3 linked regions of the Schizosaccharomyces pombe genome follow. The protein of the gene in region 1 binds, or shares a complex with, the protein of each later gene. Each region holds a gene or a part of one and is shown on either strand. Other genes may lie near its edges.

Region 1 (4,212 bases):
CGCAATTGCCCAATAAAATCATGCTCCACCCTGTTCCGCAAGACGAAATAAAACCTCGACCTAAGAAAGGAAGGTAAATGATGGTAATTTTTAGAGTCTACATAGGTGAGATGGTGACCAATCCTGTTGAGGCATGAGTTTGGTTTTTTTGATATGTATCTTAACTTTTTGTTTGGGAAAAAAAGTGGCATTTCGTGATTCATGACTAAAATCAATTACTGGCAATCGTTTAATATTAGAAAAATTTTTCCTTTCCTGACAAAAAGTGTTATGGGTATAGACGCTATCATCTTCTTATCTATGTTGGCTGCTCAATAAATGATGAACTTTTTTTAAAGCACTTTTAAAAGTTTGGAGCGAAAGTTCGCTAGCTGGCTAAACGGCAGTGTCATCTGAAAAGCTTGCTATAGCTTTGAATAATATTTATAATATATATATATGTATTCAAATAGATGGTAGAAATTTAATGTGTTCTGATAGATTGTTTTAATTTGAAGACATAAAGAGATGAAAAATATCTGTTTTATTTTTGAAAGGGGATAGTACTAAGAAAATTCTGAAAAAAAAAAAAACAAAACAAAAATCAATTTTTGAGGAGACAATATGATATATCAGCTGTGAATTTAAATACTACTGAGTCGTCTTAGAGATATCTACACTCGGGTCTGTGAACTTTGTACGATTAGCCTCAGCGTATTGTGAAGCATTATCAAACCAAGAATTTAAAGCATTTTGATCCATTTCATAGCCCAACTCCAGATCAGATTTTGTAAATACAGCACCCAATGCTTGAGCCTGATCATGGGCAACGCGTTGCTGAATTTCTTGTTCAGCGCGTAGGTGATAAAATTCCTTTCTTGCTTGATCATAAGCATTTTCTACAGGCATGTTAGAGTTTTCAATCAGCCATAAAGTTCTTTGCACTACACTCTCGCCAGATAATGCTTTGCGCGGTTGATCCATGTGACTCCAATCACAATATTGCTGATCATTACCGTCATTTTCTGCAATGATTTGAGGCCTTGCTAGTTCCCAAGGATGATCTCGATAAAACCTTTTACGGAGTTTATCTTCTGGCCATTGAATTTCCTGAGGCTGATACATTGATTTTCGTAACCGTTTACCACGGGATTTTACCTTATTTGGATCGTACAATGGTACAATACGTCTAGCATATTGAAAGGTTGGGGGATGTTTAGCAACCGTTTCGTACCATAAAGACTCTGCTGTCCATGGCTTTTTCATTTCAGCTGCAAAGCTGCGTAGCAAACCATTTGCATTAAATTTCGGCATTGGATCTTCCTCCTGAAAAAGTTATTAAATAGTATATTAGTAAAATAATCAGTAATAGAAACGTGAAAATGGAAGTAAGGATTGAATAATGATTGAGATGGGTTAATTATGCAAAACACATCCACGGCGCTATAAATAATGGAGAGTATGACTTGAGGTAATAAACAATCGCTTATATGGATAGTCTGCTAAAAAAGTGAATTATAAGCGCAAGAAACCAACTTTTTTGGTGAAAATGGCTTCCAAGAGGAATTGGGCTGGCCAAGCTAGTGTTAGCTGACGGTACTAGTGTGCCTCATCTTAGTAGCTACTGAGTATAACCTAATGGTAAGATATTATGAATATTTATTTCAGAACACACAAGGATACGAACACTATTAATGAAATAGTTATTTATAAATTTAAACACATCTATTGCCTTTTTTTTGCTAAGATATGGCTTGTTTGTAAATTCGGAATTTAAACTAAGCGATTGTTCATCTAAATTAATTTTATGGATTGAAAGTCCCTATTATTTTTTAGATATTTTTTTTATAATTGCTAAAGGTATATAGAGTTTATTGCCTTTATTTTTTTATATTTTTTTATCAATCGTTAACGCCATAGGAAAGCAAGTTAAACTGCTTAAAAATTTTTTAATACTTAAAAATTTTTTGTTATGGAATAAACTTTTTTTTTTTTATACTTTTAATTTTCACTGATTTCATTAAATATTTACCGGCAGCCGTTAGAATTATTAATAACAATGGTTCAAAAAACTCCAAAAAAATTTTAAGATTAATTAGACAAAATCAATTATATGTTTCGTAAAGCAAATTAAATGGCTGTACTGTATTTGTGAAGCTGTATGCGTATTTGCTAATTTGATTTTGTCATAAACTGACTGAGTAAATTAGCGCAGCAAATGCCGCTACACCTAGCATGTTCTGAAGTGAAAATGAAGTGCTGCAAATATTTAAAGCCATTGATCGTACAGTATTATTATGAATGGACATCAACTACTTGAATTCTTGCCTGCTCATACATTTTTAGCAGTTATTTTCATTTCTTCACTTATAACGCAGTCATATTTATACTCCGTATTTGATTTTACCTGCTAGCTGGCAATCTCAATGCTAGAATACGATATTCGCTTCTGGATGATGAGTGTTATATAACCTAGGTAAGGTTAATCTGTAGCTTATAACGAAGAAGTAAGGTAAATAGACTACACTTGTGTTCTTTGACGAAAGTGTATTCGATGATATTGTAAATGCTGATTAAATACTAATGAGTCAACAAACGTGCCTAAATGCTGGTTGCATTCAATGCCATTCCTATATATGATGATGGCCGATTGATCGTTATTCATTAGCGATTCTTAAGAGGATCGATGAATGATAGTTTAATAGTTTAGAGGGATATTCTGCATTTAATTATATTAAGGGACCTCTTTTTTACTCATGAATGTTCTTTCCATGTTTACACAATAACGAGCTATTATAACAAAATAACGTAAATAAACTATAGCGATGGTTTCCGTTAATTCACTAACGCTGCCTGTTAATGAGGAAATAGCAATCTTAGGTTTTGCTTAGAACCCAACTTCGCAACGTTGGAAGGTTTGCTCAGTTAGCTGTATTTATACCACCTTCTGTTTTTTGGAAACCTTGGATGAAATGTTTAGATGCATTATTGAGCCTTTTCGCACAGTTTAATGTTTGAATTATCGCATCATATAGAAAGGGAACGGAAGTATATGCATCATCTCGTATCGAGTTCTCGTTTTCTTTTTTTATCAAGTACCCCCTTCTCTCATTAATAGTGATCCTTTTAATTTGATTATCGTTTCTTTTCTTCATAACGCGTCTTTTCGTTTCCACGCCTCTCGTTTTGGGGACGACTTTTGTCTGCTTGCCAGGCTAAGAGATGCGAAATTGTGTATCTCCACTACTTTTTGCATGGACAAAACATTTACGTTTAAGGGAATTTAAAATCCCTTTCCCAAATCGTCTTGTTGTGCGGTCACTAAACCAGCTTAGCGTTCATCATGAAAAGGTAACTGGGTGCAGGCCTCGACAAGCGTCTTCTGATGAATTACATAAATACTCGAAATCTGCTTCAAACGAAGCATTTCTCTCAAGTTTTGCAGAAAATCAATTATTTCACAAGTGTTTGCCTTCCAGCGCAGGTGCTGTTCTTAGTGAAAACGATTTAATGTACATTATCCGAAAAGTCAGTGAAGTCTATGCTGATAATAAAACTGAAAAGGTTACTGTGCCTTTTGACAAACATAAAAACCCATTCCTAATTTACGTGAAAAAACGGTTTGCCGAATGTTTTGATAAAAATCCTGATCTTTGCCTCATTGTGTATTCAAAACTGGAGGTTGAAACGTTGGCAAAAATAACTCCCATTTGGATTAATGTCGCCAAAAAAAATAAAAAAGAAGATTTTCTTGTTGAACTCTGCCTCCGTTTTTTAGAACGATTCCGTTCATGCAATTTGACTGAACAAGCAATCTTATATCAAAATTTTCGAGAAAACTGGTGGAGTAACATTAAGTTACCCCAAAATCTCAAAAGTCTGTACGTTGAATTGTGTTTGGTGTATCATTTCCATAATTCCCATCTTGGGATGGATTCCTCTACAGTCTCTAATTTAAAACGCTTCTGCTTCTCAGAGTCATTAGGTCATATATTTGCTCCTTTGAGATTCCAAAATCAACAGCTTCCTTTGCAACACGTTTATGCGTTTTTGTTTTCCATAGCATATCGTGATAACCAAGTTGATACTGCTCATTTTCTTTATAAACAGTGGTCTCGTGCAGGCATGGGACCATTGCCAAAAGATGCATTTATAAAATTTGTACAATTACTCTCAAAAAACCGTAATTGGGTTTTAATGCGCGATATTGTTCAGCTGGAAGAATACAATAGT
Region 2 (4,055 bases), on another chromosome or scaffold:
TCTTCGATTGAATTCAATATTAAAACTCAAAAGGACAAGGTCGAGTTTGAAAAGAACTACGAGAAGTCTAAAAAAGGGCCTGATGTTATAGCCAACGCCCTAGTAGGCGGCATCCCCTTATCACTGAAAACAAAGGAGGACTCATTATATGAACTTTCCAAGTTCTCTCAATGTGGGGAGGATCAACGTCCAATGGTACTTAAAGACCCTGATCATCTAGTGCCTGAACCCAGTCGTCCACACTGTGGAAATGGACTTGTGTTTTATGATGATATACCATTGCTTGAGGTGAATCCTATTAGTGGAGAAACAATTCCTAAATTTGACGCTTCAAGCTTTGAGGACCCCGTCTGCGATGAATTTTTTGAAGACATATGGTCTAAAGTGGCTTCAAACAATACTACTATTTATCGGCACATATTTCGATGTGTACCGGATGACGAGATGCTAACGTGGGAATCATATAATGAGTGGAAAAAATATGGAAAACGCTTTAAAGAAGAGCAAGCCCGCTGGCGTCAGGAGGAGTTGTCAAATCTACACGAAACTCATGAAAAGTCAGAGAATGATCCAAAAAATCCAAAGGCTGGTTCCCAAGGTAGTGGTAACACGAGTGCAAGTGAAGATTCGAAGACAGAGAAACCAAAAACCCGTACTAATAATGGTTTACAAGTTCCTGACAAACGTGTAGTTTACGACTTACTACGTGGCATTCGGGGACAGTTGGTAGAACTTCCATTAAAATGGATGTCTACCGAATCAAACGCAAGAAATTGGCTCAGTAGTATTGACAAAATCCCTCCGTTAGAAATTTATGATTAGAGAAACAGTACCTTTTATACTACAGTTTTATTTCATCTTAATATAGTAATGAGAAGGATTAATTCCTTCAATATTAGCTTACATTATAGACTCGTTAATTTTAATAGTAACTTAAACAAACTTTCCTTTCATATTATTCATCTGTAGTTGCTATCGATTCTCGTTCAAGTACTGTATTATGTGATTGCTTGCCAATCGTTGTTTTCTTTTTAGAAGTGAGTGTAGTTGCGTCTGCGAGCCATTCCTGTGGCATCCGTTTATCACACTTCTTGTATTTCCAATGGCCAGTATTCAATGGGACATGTGAAAATTTTTCAGCATTTCTCTTCGATTCTTCAATGAGCGAAGTTAATATCTTTATAAGATGATATTTATTTTGTAGTGCAGAAGAATACTTGTCGGAAGATATTCTGACTAAATCCTCCTCCGGATTATATCTTGGTCCAACCAATAATCGTAATACATGTCGTTGTTTCTCCTCTAGCAAAGGAATATTCGTAACTTTAAATGTAACAACGACCTTCGGATTCATTTTCTCAAACGAAGACATTTGGACATCAGATTCAAACCTAAAGATCTGGCTATCAGCAGGCTTTTTAAAAGACTGTGTGTAAGCTATAATTGTCAGAGAAAATGGAACATTAAGCATATTAAAGTGATTGTGAAATAGAATTCCTAAGGTAAAACTACCCAGTAAACTTACGCGTAAGTCCAGGAAGCTCATAAGCAGCTTTCCTATACAATTCACGTATGACCTCGTGCTCTTGTATTTTCTGCCATGATAGATTATTGGAATGGACGTTATCATCAATTGTTTTCAATTCCTTCTCGTCATGAGGCTCGATTCCAAAAGGCGCTGACACATAAGCACTTCGCTTAAATCTTGTAAAATAGAAAACAGAGAAAGCTCTACTAGTAGCACAAAAGCTTGATTTGGAAAGTTGCCCGAGGAATATGGCATCTGCTTTCAATAAAGATAAAAGGGGATTAAAAGCCATTTTATAACCACCCAAAACACTAAATATATGTAATATTTGTATTATAAAAAAAAATAAACCACATTTAACGAATGCGCAGTAGTGTATGATACCGGATTTTATATTTTCTTTGAAACGAAAAGAGTGGCCGTTATAAATGGAAATCTGAATCTAACAAAAACTTTTTTTCTAAAATTTAACAATCCAAATGCTCAAAACAATTAAATAAGCTACAAAAAGGTACTTGAAGGGGATAGTGAAGAATGTATAAACATTGTTGTCCTTGACTTGACTTCGTTGTATATAATTATAACACACTAAATCTTAGTAGTTAGAACCAGTAAAAACCACATAATAGACTGGAATGAAGGTTAGTAACGTAAAATAGCATCGATTCTACTCAATTGCATTTATAACATCTATTGAATAAAAACACCTAATAATACTTTCAAGCTTTTTTTTTTCTTAGGAATTTAATAGCACTTGCTTCCCATCCTTTTTTGGCATTCGCTGTTTAAAAAGTGTGTTAGTTATCCTTATATTTTGATTTTCGTAAGCAAGACTACACTACGTTACGCTGCGTATCACTATATGTCATCTGTTAGGATAGATTTAAGATTCGTTTACTAATAATTGCTGATAACTATTCTTTTGAGTACTTGTTTGTGTTTGATCATGTTTACTCCAAAAGATTATAAACAGAGTACATCTGAACAGAAACAGGTTCGTTTATATGTTAATTAATGGCAGGTAACAACGTAACCCATGTATAAATACTTACAACAAATTGCTACCCACATCACACCTATATATAATATGATATTACCGATCACAATGAAAACTCACAGAAGTCAAACAAGATACTACAATGCGCAGCTAGATAATATTGCACTTTCATTACTAGCGCTATTTAGTAAATAATTAAAAGAAGTTCGATTCAATTGTAAGTTTCATGAGAAAACAGGAAACTCCATTTAAGAATGATTTAAATATAAGAAAAAGACGCAATGTTTTTAAGAAAATGGGGTAAACAGAGTGATGGCAAGTCATCTGCTCAGCGTCTAGTCATTATTATTCCCTGTATGTGTTAATTCAAGCCTATCAAAGTAAAATAAAAAATTTTTTACGAAATAATCTTTTATTGAACTTGATTTAAAAAATCTGTATTTTTTATTTAACTATATTATTATGAACGTGAAATAGTGCTTAATTGGGTTCTTTAACCGTGATGTTTACAATGTTTGTATTGTATTACTTTTAAGTTAAGTAAAAACTAAATACCTTGACCCACATAACTTGTTCTTTGCAAAAATGTTAAGGAGCTGAGTATTTTAGAGTACTCAACACGAATGGAAGTCAATGCATATAACAATCTGTAGACAGTAATATTAGACTGTTAATGTTTACATGAGTCATTTGTAAAAAAAAAAAAAAAAAAAAAAAAATTATAAAATAATTGAATAAATAACCTATTACAGAAATCTTCAGACAACGATATTTTATTAATTTATTCCATTGCAATATTGCTTTAATACAATTTGGCTTGACATTGTGATGGAATTGACATGGATAATTTAAAATAATTAATTAAAAATTTTGTTGAAATTAATTGACTATTAACAATTCATGAAGTATCGTAAATCTGCCCTGATAAAATAAAATTTAAAAAAGTGTTGAAAGTGTTAATGGCTTTATAATTTGTAAACTTAGCCGTTTATTAAGTTTGAATATTGATAATTATTGAAGAATAAAGCATTATTTCCATTTTTTCTTCGTTGATTCATAGCTTTCATCAGACCTCTTCTGACCAAGGTTGACTAATGTATACAATTTGATTTTAATGACAATTCTTTCTTCTTATTAATAGTTTTTGCATAATTTTTCCCCAGCTTCTTATTTAATCCATCGAATATTTCAAATTTACTAACCCATCATCATTTTACCTTTAGATATTTTACGAGGAGCAACGCGTTACTTTAGCGGTTTAAAATTCTTTAGCTTTATGAATCAGTGTAAATTTCACTTTTGCATAAACACTAGTGTAAAAGCATTACAGGAGACCAGATTTGGTTTAAATTTAGTGGCTATAGCTAATTATCCAACATAACCCGACTAATCTTGATTTGTGGAAAGGGTAGTTATTAGTTTTGTAGTTTCTAAGAATTCTAAGTCGTGGTTTGTCCCAGTATCTTCTTTTGTCGAATTCAAACGAAATACTTAAAAATGGTTACAATTTTAAAACCTGAAGAATTCTAT
Region 3 (3,377 bases), on another chromosome or scaffold:
ATTCTGGCTTTAAAGACATTTTGTCTCATCTGCGACACGTTGTAAAAAGAAAACAGTGTTTGGGTCATATTTTATTGTTTTCGAGGTAGGGTTTGGGTTTGGTAACAATTCTAAATTTTTGGTTAAAAAAGAAAGCATGGCCTTTCATTTTGTATCATTCGTTTACGGTGAAATTGGGAATGAATAATATGATACATGTAGACTAGAAACTAGGAGACATAATTCTTTAATTCAATTATTGGTTTATTTAAAAATCCTAATTAGATTATACTTGCTCGTAATTAGTGATACATTTTTTTATATACTTGAACTTGTCTATAACACTTTCGAGCACTACCGAAGATATTAATTATACTCATAAAAGGCGCTCGCCTATTTAGAAAGCCGTGGTGGTGTGTCCGTAGGAGTCCTCGTTTCTACGGGGAACCTCCTGTTAATTGAATCGCTCATTGCGGCTTTATATAATGTTTCACTCGTATGCTTCAGTTCCTCGCAAGCAATTTTCATTGCAGAGAATTGGTTTTTTAGAAGATTCTCTCTTTGTTTTTCTTGTCGATATTCGTGTATACGCCAAGCGCGATTAATAACTTCGTGTTTTTCCCACATGTCTGGATTCATTTTCAAAGACCTGACTTTTTTATTTCCGTAAAGAGCTTTTCTAACCAAATCGATTGACTCACTATGATTAGAAGGACCAGATTGGTGCTTTCCCTTTGAGGCCTTAGCCATTAATTGTAACGTAGAACGCATCTGCCAAAAAACTTTTCAACACAAACTAAAGTACTCCTTGAATTTTTTCACGTTGATAGAAAAAAATTTAATTTTCAAAAGTATTAACATAAAACCTTCCTTTAAAAGCTAAAAAACCTGAGTAGAGAAAAATGCGGTAGTAGTAAACGTGTTCAGTGGTATGAAGCTAATTAAGAGAGTAAGTCGTGATACACTAGGAAAAGCCACCAGTACGATATTTCAAAAAAAGAAGTGTTTCATCAAATCCCCTTCAATTTCACACACTGATAAAAAAAATATAGATTATAATTCGGAGTTCATTTAATTGTTTCTGAATTTTCAGTAGCTAAGCCAAACAAAGCATATGCATTTATGGAGATATGTAACCAAACGAAGACATTTAACAAGTAGAAAATATTAAGTTTTAAGTCAAAGCTTTATATGGAGTAGGCCTGATGCTCAATTTTTCTGCTAAGTTTCATGTAAGTAGTCAAACACATTGATAAATCCATATCAGTGTTTAAAGTTTTAATGAATGGATAAGTTATTGTAATAAATACTATCATCAACTGAAAATGGCATGGCAAAACGAAGCTTAAACCTCAATACAATCTACTTCCAGTACGTTTTTCAGTAGAAGTCATGAATTAAGTTGATTTTTTCAGCTTAACACTGTACTGTAAATTTGTCGATTAGCATACCTACATTCTGCATCTGTTTTAGACTAGTCCATTAAAGTTCAATTCCTAGAGGAAAAAATATTTAATACGCTAGTTATACCCAAAAATGTTTGTCAAAATATAAAAGAATAAATTTTTGTATCCCATCGAATAATATGAATGCTGCGAGATATTCTATTCCAAGGCAATATACATACACTAACACCAAACCAGCGACGTTCGGGTACAAACTTCGGAATTCCTTGCTCAAGCATCTATTATAGTGATTTTTGAGATTTTATACAGCTCAAATATTAAATTTCCCCAAATAATGATCCGTTTTGCTCAATATGCTCGATATCCGGTAATTTCAAGGTTGATGAAGCCAACAGTTATTTCACCATTTCAGGCTCAAGCGTTTTCTAGCTCTTCAGTTATGTTAAAGACATTAAATCAAACGATAAGAAATAAAGAGAAACGTCCTGAAAAAACAAATAAGCAATCTGTTGCTTTAGAGGGAAGTCCGTTTCGACGGGGTGTGTGCACGAGGGTCTTTACAGTAAAACCCAAAAAACCTAATTCGGCAGTAAGAAAGGTTGCCCGTGTACGCCTTTCAACCGGCCGTTCTGTTACTGCTTACATTCCAGGTATCGGTCATAATGCACAGGAGCATGCTGTGGTATTGTTAAGAGGCGGCAGAGCACAGGATTGTCCAGGAGTCCAATATCATGTTGTTCGGGGTGTCTATGACATTGCTGGTGTAGCGGGACGTGTCACATCCCGAAGCAAGTATGGAGTAAAAAAACCGAAAGCAGCCTAAACTTCATGACCTCAAAGACTTTCTTTTTCGAAAACCATGATATTCAGAAACGTTATCTTTATAATTATTCCACCTCCTCTTTTGATATCGATTCACAAGGACCTTATTAAAATGACTGAAACAAAAATTTAAATGAGAAAAAAGTTGAGTCAACCCATTTGTCATTTCTCGCAACCTTGCTTCTTGTTGCAACTATACATATTCAATAATCATTTACTCTTGCATGTTTAATAAGCAATTTTTTAGTTGAACTACATCCCCTTTAAACATACAATCATCAAAAAAAGGTAAAAAAGATTGTGTAATTAGGCAATTTCCAGTTATCTAAAAAATTAGCAAATAGATAATCCTTTTGGTTAAAATTTAACCAAATCTATCTAAACAATGATTTATTAAAATGAGGAGGATTTTCTTTTGAGAAATCCTTTTGGAAAGTTTTCTACTTTTTTGATATAAGCTCTTTAAATAAATTTTAAACTTGAGACGCTTTCAATTTTTAATTTGTTCAATTTGGTTTTACTACCGTGCTATTTAATTTTTAACTCTTGAATAAAGTATAAAAAACACCTTTTGGGTGTTGGAAAACGCTTTCCGGTTCTTATTTATATAGTATGCAGTATTGCTAGCACAACTTCACCGTTCAACGTTGCAGAAAAATTTACTAAACGATGAGAAAAATATTTTTTAACAAATCTTGGTTAATTGGATTTCTTGAAAGAAAAAGAAGATTTTATCTTGAACCCGAATAATTCATAAATTTGAGATAATAGGGTATGATGAATCTTATTTTTTACAAACTCAGATTAAAAAAAATCAAATTTCTTTTTGTTAGAATCAATTTACACACACATCTTTGAGATGTCCTGTAATGTTTGTAAATTCCGTACTCTTTTTTGGAATGTTAACAAAATCGTAACAAATTTAATAACAATACACAACCACAATTTTGTTTTAAAGAGACATATAACATCAATCACAACATGCTTTTTAATTCATCTGATATTCAATCTTCATACTATTAACTAATTCCAGGAAATAAATTCACTTTCAAAAAAAACATCTTAACTAAAAGCTGTTAAAAAGCAATTTCATATTTACATGCTCATTTCTACGTACAATTCAAAAAAAGCTAACAGACATCTAACATGATTTAGGCCAAGCCTTTCTTT

What was found. The genes of interacting proteins can lie anywhere in the genome.
Region 2: rsm25 (region 1) and rsm24 share a complex: the UniProt entries of both Schizosaccharomyces pombe proteins name them as parts of the mitochondrial small ribosomal subunit.
Region 3: rsm25 (region 1) and mrps12 share a complex: the UniProt entries of both Schizosaccharomyces pombe proteins name them as parts of the mitochondrial small ribosomal subunit.

Annotation. Positions count from the first base shown.
Region 1 is NC_003423.3:4,290,396-4,294,607, forward strand, and holds rsm25 (mitochondrial 37S ribosomal protein mS23), read right to left. Parts: upstream 1,568-4,212; 5' UTR 1,294-1,567; coding exon 631-1,293; 3' UTR 501-630; downstream 1-500. Other genes in the region: nucleoporin Rae1, read left to right, coding at 1-77; PPR repeat-containing protein Ppr7, read left to right, coding at 3,202-4,212. UniProt on the Schizosaccharomyces pombe protein: Component of the mitochondrial ribosome (mitoribosome), a dedicated translation machinery responsible for the synthesis of mitochondrial genome-encoded proteins, including at least some of the essential transmembrane subunits of the mitochondrial respiratory chain.
Region 2 is NC_003424.3:561,935-565,989, reverse strand, and holds rsm24 (mitochondrial 37S ribosomal protein mS35), read right to left. Parts: upstream 2,065-4,055; 5' UTR 1,821-2,064; coding exon 1,526-1,820; intron 1,517-1,525; exon of another isoform or gene 1,438-1,516; coding exon 956-1,437; 3' UTR 917-955; downstream 1-916. Other genes in the region: phospholipase D Pld1, read left to right, coding at 1-822; exosome subunit Rrp4, read left to right, coding at 4,023-4,055. UniProt on the Schizosaccharomyces pombe protein: Component of the mitochondrial ribosome (mitoribosome), a dedicated translation machinery responsible for the synthesis of mitochondrial genome-encoded proteins, including at least some of the essential transmembrane subunits of the mitochondrial respiratory chain.
Region 3 is NC_003424.3:2,667,165-2,670,541, reverse strand, and holds mrps12 (mitochondrial 37S ribosomal protein uS12m), read left to right. Parts: upstream 1-1,609; 5' UTR 1,610-1,719; coding exon 1,720-2,208; 3' UTR 2,209-2,461; downstream 2,462-3,377. Other genes in the region: Brix domain-containing protein Rpf1, read left to right, coding at 1-13; mrpl28 (mitochondrial 54S ribosomal protein mL40), read right to left, coding at 373-729; hxk2 (hexokinase 2), read right to left, coding at 3,359-3,377. UniProt on the Schizosaccharomyces pombe protein: Component of the mitochondrial ribosome (mitoribosome), a dedicated translation machinery responsible for the synthesis of mitochondrial genome-encoded proteins, including at least some of the essential transmembrane subunits of the mitochondrial respiratory chain.